2 linked regions of the Macaca fascicularis genome follow. The protein of the gene in region 2 interacts with the protein of the main gene of each other region in a biochemical or structural test. Links are inferred from orthologs where the notes say so. Each region holds a gene or a part of one and is shown on either strand. Other genes may lie near its edges.

Evidence for each region. The genes of interacting proteins can lie anywhere in the genome.
Region 1: of the proteins of SNCA (region 2) and CSNK1A1, one has a biochemical effect on the other in vitro, tested with the Homo sapiens proteins (3 studies listed by BioGRID). The link is inferred for Macaca fascicularis from reciprocal best matches to the Homo sapiens genes SNCA and CSNK1A1.

Annotation. Positions count from the first base shown.
Region 1 is NC_088380.1:156,431,002-156,435,759, forward strand, and holds the start of CSNK1A1 (casein kinase I), read right to left. Parts: upstream 3,116-4,758; 5' UTR 2,644-3,115; coding exon 2,521-2,643; intron 1,850-2,520; coding exon 1,743-1,849; intron 1-1,742.
Region 2 is NC_088379.1:95,377,862-95,382,423, reverse strand, and holds the start of SNCA (alpha-synuclein), read left to right. Parts: upstream 1-1,306; 5' UTR 1,307-1,495; intron 1,496-1,795; exon of another isoform or gene 1,796-2,204; intron 2,205-2,437; exon of another isoform or gene 2,438-2,857; intron 2,858-3,050; exon of another isoform or gene 3,051-3,133; intron 3,134-3,327; exon of another isoform or gene 3,328-3,474; intron 3,475-3,908; 5' UTR 3,909-3,933; coding exon 3,934-4,054; intron 4,055-4,562. UniProt on the Homo sapiens protein: Neuronal protein that plays several roles in synaptic activity such as regulation of synaptic vesicle trafficking and subsequent neurotransmitter release.

The DNA.
Region 1 (4,758 bases), on a different chromosome or scaffold from region 2:
AGGTGGATCAACTGAAGTCTGGAGCTGGAGACCAGCATGGCCAACATGGCAAAACCTTGTCTCTACTAAAAATCAAAAATTAACCTGGCATAGTAGTGCAAGCCTGTAATTCCAGCTACTTGGGAGGCTGAAGCAGGAGGATCACTTGAACCTGGGAGGCAGAGGCTGCAGTTAGCCAAGGTTGCGCCACTGCACTCCAGCCTGGGCAACAGAGTAAGACTTCGTTTCAAAAGAAAAAAACCTGGGCACGGTTGCTCATGCCTGTAATCCCAGCACTTGGGGAGGCCGAGGCAGGTGGATCACCTGAGGTCAGGGGTTCGAGTACAGCCTGGCCAACATGGTGAAACTAAAATACAAAAATTAGCTGGGTGTGGTGGCGGGCGCCTGTAATCCCAGCTACTCAGGAGGCTGAGGCACTAGAATCGCTTGAACCCAGGAGGCAGAGGTTGCAGTGAGCCAAGATCGTGCCATTCACTGCACTCCAGCCTGATCGACAAGAGCGAAAACTCAGTCTCAAAAAAAAAAAAAGAGAGTCTCCAGCAAACAGTAAACACCATTCTCACCTATTCTGAATATTTTTGCAAAAGGTATTTTAGATTGTTGCTGAAAAATAGCTTGGTTTTAAACTATATTTTAGTCTCCATTCCATGAAGAGGCTCTTTAATCCCAAAAGTTAAAACATTACTCTAAAACCCTCCAAAGTAAAGTTAACCATTTGACAGAACAATGTCTTTCTATCTCGTCATCTTTTATCCGCGTTACTGCAATTTGCACTCACCAATATTCCACACCAACAAAGGCCGCAATTTCTCTGATATTAAGATTTACTGCCAAACTCAACAGGTTAAAATTACTTATCAAAGTGTGGCTAAGTGATTAAGATTTCTTTTAATACAATTGATTTGAGTAAATTTTAACATAGTTGGTGCTGCTCAAACTGCCTTTGCCATTACCTATACAAATTTAGTCCCGACTGAAATGTGCCAAATATGACCATTCACGAAAGGAAAGAGTAATTAACACTTTTAAAAGAACCACAAAGGATTTTACATAGTATAATTCAACAATTTCATGTCACATCTGCTGCAGAGATCACAAACATTGTCACTATGCCATCTCCTTCCTCGAACCCCCACACCGCCTCCTGCAGCTTTATTCTTGGCTTTTCAAAGGTTTAATCCACTCGGGGCTGCTAAAGGAGGAATCAAGGAAGCATAATTTGTGAACCCAAGCTGAGAAAAGGGCAGGAATATGGGGTTGAGTCACGTCGTTCCGCCATTTTCTAAGCGGAGGAGGAAGACATGTTGGAACAAAAACACAACAAAAGAGCAGCCATTTCCCAAGCCAGCTCCAATAGCAACTCGAACTGACACCGCCGGGTCGCTTCAGCACCTTCAAATCCACTTCACTGGACAAACCTAAGAACATCAGACGTGCCGCCGTAAAAAAGGCAGCAGCCAACCCTTCCGCGTAGGGATCAAAGATGACCCGCACGCATAACTGCAAACGAAAGCCTCGGGAAGAGAATGACGGAAGCGAAATGGAGCAGTGTAATACAATGAAATAAGTTGGCAAATTGAAATTTACTCAGTGATTGCGATGACTTACAGGAAGGCACCAGCTACAAGGAACCCAGGTAACCAAAACAAGACCCGGATTCAGCTGGTCTCATTACCTGCCTCTACCCACTTCCCCATTCCGTGCTTCCCTCAGCGGATCGCCTACATGCACGGGGTTCTTACCGTATGTGGGGGATGCCAACCCCACCTTGAAGAATCTTATAGAGCTTGCTCTCGTACAGCAACTGGGGATGCCTGGCCTTCTGAGATTCTAGCTTCACTGCCACTTCCTGCAGGGGAAAGAGGGGATGATGGCATCAACATCCCTACGGATTCAGTGTCATTTAGGAAAGGAGAGAGACATTAGCAAAACTCCAAGTCGCGACTACAAGGAAGAAGTGAAAAGCTGGAAAGAGAAAGCTCTCTGTAATTATAAAACGAGGCAACCAGCCTCAAAGGCCTCTTCAGGGGGTAGTGACGAAATCGTACGTCCTCTAAAGTGCAGGAAAATGATTCATCCAGAAAAAAGAGGCAACCTCTGAACGTAGTGAGAGGTTTTTAAGGAACTAGGCGATCGGAAACTGTTCTAATTGGAACAAGAGGCCCAGCAGGATTAAAAATTAAATAAAAGAAAAGAAAAGCAAAGCATGGGAATCACAGAAAGAGGATTTTGCCGTTTCCACCTTAAAAGTCGGTTAAAAAAAAAACAGCTCGACCAAGGGACATTTATGGGAAGTGTTTAACAAGCTGGGAAACTAGTTCCCCCACCCTTTTCTATCGGGTTCTTGACCCTTTTAGGGAGAGAGCGGGCGAGGATCGCAAGCCAGGAAAACTAGCTCCCTGGACTCCCTGGCGAGTGCGTGCGGTGAGGAGAGGCCCGAGCACTTTGGGGGTGCGCGGTGGTGGTGGGGGGAATGAGGAAAAGCGCAGCGTTATCGTGAACCCCACCCCAGGTGATTACCTCGCCGTTGGTGATGTTGATCGCCAGATAGATGTCCCCGAAGGAGCCAGACCCGATCTTCCGTACCAGTTTATATTTCCCTCCGACAATGAATTCGGCCTTAGAGCCGCTGCTACTCGCCATCCTGAGAGACGAAGATGGAGTCTGGGGCCAAGCCCCGACACCTCTGGGAAGACGACGGAGGCCTCTGGGGCTCCTACACTGGGCAAGGCTACGGAGGAAGGCGGCAGGAAACAGAACACGGAGGCCTTTACCGGCGTTCGGGGCCCAGAATCAGCCGAGGGGAACCTGATCACCGCCGCTCAGTCAGGTTTCTTTTTGCCAGGCCGCAGTTTGTGAAGGGCTTCTCGCGGTTACCAGGCTGGGCCACTTGTTTCTCGGCGGCCGCCGCTGCCTCGCTTGCGCGGCGACGTCGCGGGCTGGAAAAGGGGCGCGGTGAGCTAGGGCGGCGATACAGCTACCACCACTGCCGCCGGCTCCGGCCCTGAGGGACCCCTGTCACTCCGCCGACGCCGCCATCTTGTTACTCCAGCTCCAGCCAACACAAAATGCCCCCAGTCCCCGGGAGCCGCTTCTTCACGGCGCAGAGCACTCTGGGAAAGGGATCTGGGGCGCTCGCTCCGAAGGATCGGCAGCTAGAGGGCGGAACCGGATCCGTGAGAGTCGCGGCCCACGCTCCGAGCGTCACCCTGTCACCGCCCAGTAGCGCATGAGCGCTGCAACTCCTGCTGACTGCGCAGGCGTGCCGCGGCCTGCCTCACCCCGCCCCGGGCTTTCTTCCACTTCCGGTCGGCGGCGGCTCAGCCGGTGTTACCTGTTACTCGCCTCGGACCCGCAGGGTCTCTGGAAGGCTGAGTGGCCCCAGGCCTCGATGTTGGGAGGAGTCACCTTCATGTTTCGTGTCAGGCCTCCTTAGGAGTTGGGTATTGACCTTTGCTCTTTGAGGCGGTTTTTAACCTTTGATCTTTCTTCTGGCCGCTCCCCAGGACCGGCCTATTCCAACCCAGTTTCTGTTTGGAAAGAGGCTATCGCCTCTGGTGGAGAGGAAGAGAAAAGCAGCCCGCGTTGAGGAATCGTTCAGGGCTCTCGGTTATAGCAAAACCTAGCTAATTACCCTTCATAATTAGAATTTTCTTCTCTACTACGGAGTGTTATAGACCCTCTTTCCACAGGAGGGGAAAAAAGAAAGAAGCCGGAATCCCCCTGCCGTCCTACGTCTTTGCATTATTGCCTCACTACCACTTTTGATCTTCAGAAGAAAACCCAGTATCTTGTTCATAGTGAAGATTAGGGATAGATGGAATCAACAGAAAATTAATTTAACAAGAGTGAAAAAACTGTTATGCCCCCCAACCCCACCAAAACAACAACAAAGAATCGTATGTTGGTCATGTTGAAAACCGCAGTATTAACCTGAACAGAGTAGAGGTAACTATTACAAAATTTAATTGACAACATTTAAAGCTACACGGAAATTTTTTTCTTTTTTACTAAAAATCGATCAGAGAATCAAATCTTGACCACGTTTTGTATTACAAAATTTGACCTGGGAAAATTGGGTTGAGTAATAGTAATGTTCACAAAAGAAAGCTCCATGGTTTATGCTATCATCTTAAGTCAGACCTCAGTCGTAAACATTTAAGCTAAGCCTATCTTAAATAAAATTTAATTAAAATAGAAATGAGGGCTGGGCGCAGTGGCTCACGCCTGTAATCCCACCACTTTGGGAGGCCGGGGCGGGCAGATGACTTGAGGTCAGTTGTTCGAGACCAGCCTGGCCAACATGGCGAAACCCCGTATCTACTAAAAATACAAAAATTAGCTGGGTGTGATGACGTACACTTGTAACCCCAGCTACTCGGAAGCGGAGGTTGCGGTGAGACTAGATCACGCTACTGCACTCCAGCCTGGGCAACAGAGAGACCCTCTCTCAAAAAAATAATTAAATAGAAATGAGAGAAAAATGTGAAGAATTTTAACTGCAACTTTGAAAGGTGATCAAGTAATTAAGGTTAGTAATAGGGTTCATCTCGGAAGATAACTGAAGAGAGAGGGGAAGAGACTTCCCCTAAAGTTTAGCATGAAGTTTTAAGGCACAACCAACACCCAGGGTGCCCAACTCCCAAATCACCACTATTAGACATCGTTCGCCTTTGGTGACTCTAAAGCATGTTTTGACTAAGTTAAAATCTGCTGTTAAATTCTGGTCTAAAACGCAGCCGGGTGCAGTGACTCACA
Region 2 (4,562 bases):
TCAAAGCACCAGGTCTCAAAGAGGTCACTGTTATACTATAAATATGTCATATGAAATAATATATTAAATAATTGTTGTAATAGCCTATTGAAGTACTAGTTGTAATAAGACACAATGGAAAACTTACACTATTAACAGTAATAAAAAGAAACAACAAAAAGCAATAAAAAACAAACCACCGATTCATGCAATGACATGAATCACCTCACAAATACTATGCTGAGTAAAAGAAGTCAGACAGATATAAAAAAGTTTATACTACGTGATTAGATTTTTATGACATTCTAGAATATGCACATGAAGGGTGCAAGGTAACTGTCTGGAGTGATGAAAATGTCCTGTGTCTTCAAAATAGTGTGGGTTACACCAATGCATGGTTTTTTCAAAACTGATTTAAAGGGACACAACATCTGAGCATTTCACTAGGTGTAAATTACACTGAAATTTAAAAGAATCGTCTAATGACATTGTGGTTATTTTTAAACAGTTCTTAAATTTTGTGGATGCATACTGAATGTTTACAGTTGAAAAGATGTATATAAAGCTTGAATTTTGTGAAAAAAAATAGGGAGGATTGGTAGTGATAAAGTGAGTGGACTTATGAATGAGACATGATATGCCATGCATAGAAAAAATGTAAAAGTTGGGTGATATTCACATGGGAGTACTTTATTCTTTCTACTTTTGCGTATGTTTGAATATTTCCCATAACAAAAAGTTGAATATAGGGCGATCACCTGAGTTCATCTCCTCATTTACAAAAAATAAAACTGGAAACAGAAGGAGAACATAACTTGTTCAAGGTCTCCAAGCCAGACAACAAACTAGCTCCCAAGTCCAACCTTCTTGCTCTGGTCCTAAGCAAACACAAACTATTAATATGAGCTACTGCGTTATGGAAAGTCTGTTTTTCCAAAGGGCAGACCAATAGTTCAAGGAAGAGTTTAAGTAATAAAAATTTGTAATCTTACTTTCATGTTTTTCTATTTTCCACTGAACACATAGGCATTATCTTCTATATGTCTTTCATGTATAATCATTTGTTTACTATTCCTTGTGGTTTTAAAGTTGTTTTGTATGTTTACATTTGATTTTACTCAAATTTCAGAATCCAAATGAGTGCAAGAATCAGACAAAGCATTAGCTACAAACATAAAAACAATTTTTAAAAAACACAGCAAAAACGAGCTGTTGTCCCCGCCCCCCCCGCCGGCCCCCACCCCCCCCGCCGGCCCCCACCAGTGCTTAACTAATCTTCGGAATCCAGGCACAGAAAGCAAAGGCTTTCTGCTAGTGGGAGGAGCTTGCTTCTCCATTCTGGTGTGATCCAGGAATAGCTGTCTTCCAGTTCTGAAAGAGGTGAAAATGTGTTAAGCGATGCAAAAATTGTCTGGAGGTTCGCGTGTGTACGTCTGTGTGTCTGTGCATGTGGTGGGTCGGGGGAGAGAAAAGGGGATGTCAATTCTGAGGGCAACGAGAATTAGAAGTCAGAAAGGTGAGTGGCGTGTAGCATCTCCCTTTCAGAAGGGGCTGAAAAAGAAATTGGATATGATGGTCTGGTAGGGTAAATCACGCTGGATTTGTCTACCAGACCATGCACTTAGGTCTGCAAAGTAAGTCCCATTTCTAGAGCGAAAAGCCTTAGGACCGCTTGTTTTAGACGGCTGGGGAATATTTATTCCTCGTTCCGCTGATGGGAAAATCAGCGTCTGGCAGGCGCTGATTGGTGGAAAGGAAAATGGTGATAGTGGGGTGGGAAGAGGATTTGCTGAGCCTCCTCCTGCCTCCTCAACCTGTAACTCTTCCTTAGTAGTCTCCGATTCACCCGCGGGACCCTTTCGAGCTCGACCTGGATTAAGAGCAAACGAAAATCTTGAGGATATTTGAACTAAAGCGACCCTTAACGTAGCCTGTGACCGTGATTAAATTCAGCGATGCGAGGGCAAAGTGCTCTCGGCGGTGCGGTGTGAGCCACCTCCCTGCGCTGCCTGTCTCCCCAAAGGATAGGCTCTGCTCTGGGTGGTCGACCCTCAGGCCCTCAGCTCTCCCAGGTCGACTCTGACGAGGGGTAGGGGGTGGTCCCAGGGAGGACCCGGAGGAAAGGCGGGGACAGGAAGGGAGGGGAATGGGAAAGAGGGAGAGTCGTCAGCCCAAGCCCAACCGCTCCCAATCGCCACAAGAGTGCCCGTGACCCTGAACTTGAGGTGAGGCGCAAAAGCGCCCCCACTTTCCCGCCTTGCGCGGCCAGGCAGGCGGCTGGAATTGGTGGTTCACCCTGCGCCCCCTGCCCCATCCCCATCCGAGATAGGAAACGAAGAGCACGCTGCAGGGAAAGCAGCGAGCGCTGGGAGGGGAGCGTGGAGAGGCGCTGACAAATCAGCGGTGGGGGCGGAGAGCCGAGGAGAAGGAGAAGGAGGAGGACGAGGAGGAGGAGGACGGCGACGACCAGAAGGGGCCCGAGAGAGGGGGCGAGCGACCGAGCGCCGCGACGCGGGAGTGAGGTGCGTGCGGGCTGCAGCGCAGACCCCGGCCCGGCCCCTCCGAGAGCGTCCTGAGCGCTCCCTCACGCCTTCCCTTCAAACCTTCTGCCTTTTTCTCCATCCTCGTGAGCGGAGAACTGGGAGTGGCCATTCGACGACAGGTTAGCGGGTTTGCCTCCCACGCCCCCAGCCTCCCGTCGTCGGCTCACAGCGGCCTCCTCTGGGGACCGTCCCCCTCCCGGTGCCGCCTCCGCCCTTCCTGTGCGCTCCTTTTCCTCCTTCTTCCCTATTAAATATTATTTGGGAATTGTTTAATTTTTTTTTTTTTTAAGAGAGGTAGGGAGGAATCGGAGTTGTGGAGAAGCAGAGGGACACAGGTAAGTACCTGTGGATCTAAACGGGCGTCTTTGGAAATCCTGGAGAAAGCCGGGTGGGAGAGGAATGGTCGTGGGCACCAGGAGGGGGTGGTGCTGCGGTGAGGACCTGCTGTGCCAGGTCTCTGGGAGGTGAGTACTTGTCCCTTTGGGGAGCCTAAGGAAAGAGACTTGACCTGGCTTTCGTCCTGTCAAGGGCTTCTCCCCAAGGGCTGAGAGATTAGGATGCGTCTCTGGGATCCGCTTTTCCCCGGGAAACGCGAGGATGCTCCCTGGAGCGTAAGCATCCAACTTTTATTTCTCTCTTACCTGAAATCCGTCTGCCCGCTCTCTTGGTTTTTCTCTGTAAAGTAAGCAAGCTGCCTTTGGCAAATAATGAAATGGAAGTGCAGGGAGGCCAAGTCAACAGGTGGTAAAGGGTTAACAAGTGCTGGCGCGGGGTCCGCTAGGGTGGATGCTGAGAACGCCCCCTCGGGTGGCTGGCGCAGGGTTAGAGACGGCCCGCGAGTGTGAGCGCCGCCTGCTCAGGGTAGATATCTGAGGGCGGGGGTGGATGCTCGGATGTATTAGAACCAGCACCCTTGGGCTCGCTGTTTGCCTGAGGTTGAACCACACCCAGAGTGAGTAGTTAGTTCTCTTGCCTACGCCTCTCCACCATCAACCTGTTAGCCTTCTTCTGGGATTCATGTTAAGGATGCCCCAGACCCTAAGCCTCCAGCTTCCATGCTTCTAACTCACACTGTTACCCTTTAGACCCCGGGAAGTTAAAACAGGAGTGACTCTTTTCATGCAACTCCACTTCTGAAATGCAGTATTAACAACTCAGAGGATTCATCCTAATCCATGGTTAGGTGGCTAGACTTTTACTAGCCAAGATGGATGGGAGATGCTAAATTTTTAATGCCAGAGCTAAAAATGTCTGCTTTGTCCAATGGTTAAATGAGTGTACACTTAAAAGAGTCTCACACTTTGGAGGGTTTCTCATGATTTTTCAGTGTTTTTTGTTTATTTTCCCCCAAAAGTTCTCATTCAAAGTGTATTTTATGTTCTCCAGTGTGGTGTAAAGGAATTCATTAGCCATGGATGTATTCATGAAAGGACTTTCAAAGGCCAAGGAGGGAGTTGTGGCTGCTGCTGAGAAAACCAAACAGGGTGTGGCAGAAGCAGCAGGAAAGACAAAAGAGGGTGTTCTCTATGTAGGTAGGTAAACCCCAAATGTCACTTTGGTGTTGGTTCATGACTGATGGGTTAGGATAATCAATACTCTAAATGCTGGTAGTTCTCTCTCTTGATTCATTTTTGCATCATTGCTTGTCAAAAGGGTGGACTGAGTCAGAGGTATATGTAGGTAGGTGAATGTGAATGTGTGTATTTGAGCTAATAGTAAAAAATGCGGCTGTTTCCTTTTCGATATTTTTAATTTTGCCCTAATATTTAGGACTTTTGAAAAATGAATGCTTCTGTGCCTACATAATTACATTTCAGAGAACAGTTTTAAAAATACATTGTCTTTTTAAAAAATCAACAATATTCTTAAGAATCAAAATCATTGCTGGGTCTGTGATTTCTTTTACCATCATGAATAATGTTTGTCAATTTTAACCCATTCTGATTTTTAAAATATGACTTTGATATGCCCCTGTGCTGTGTATAAAGAGACCTATTTGTGGCCCTAAAATGGAAACAACAGATTAGTCTTTGGTAGAGT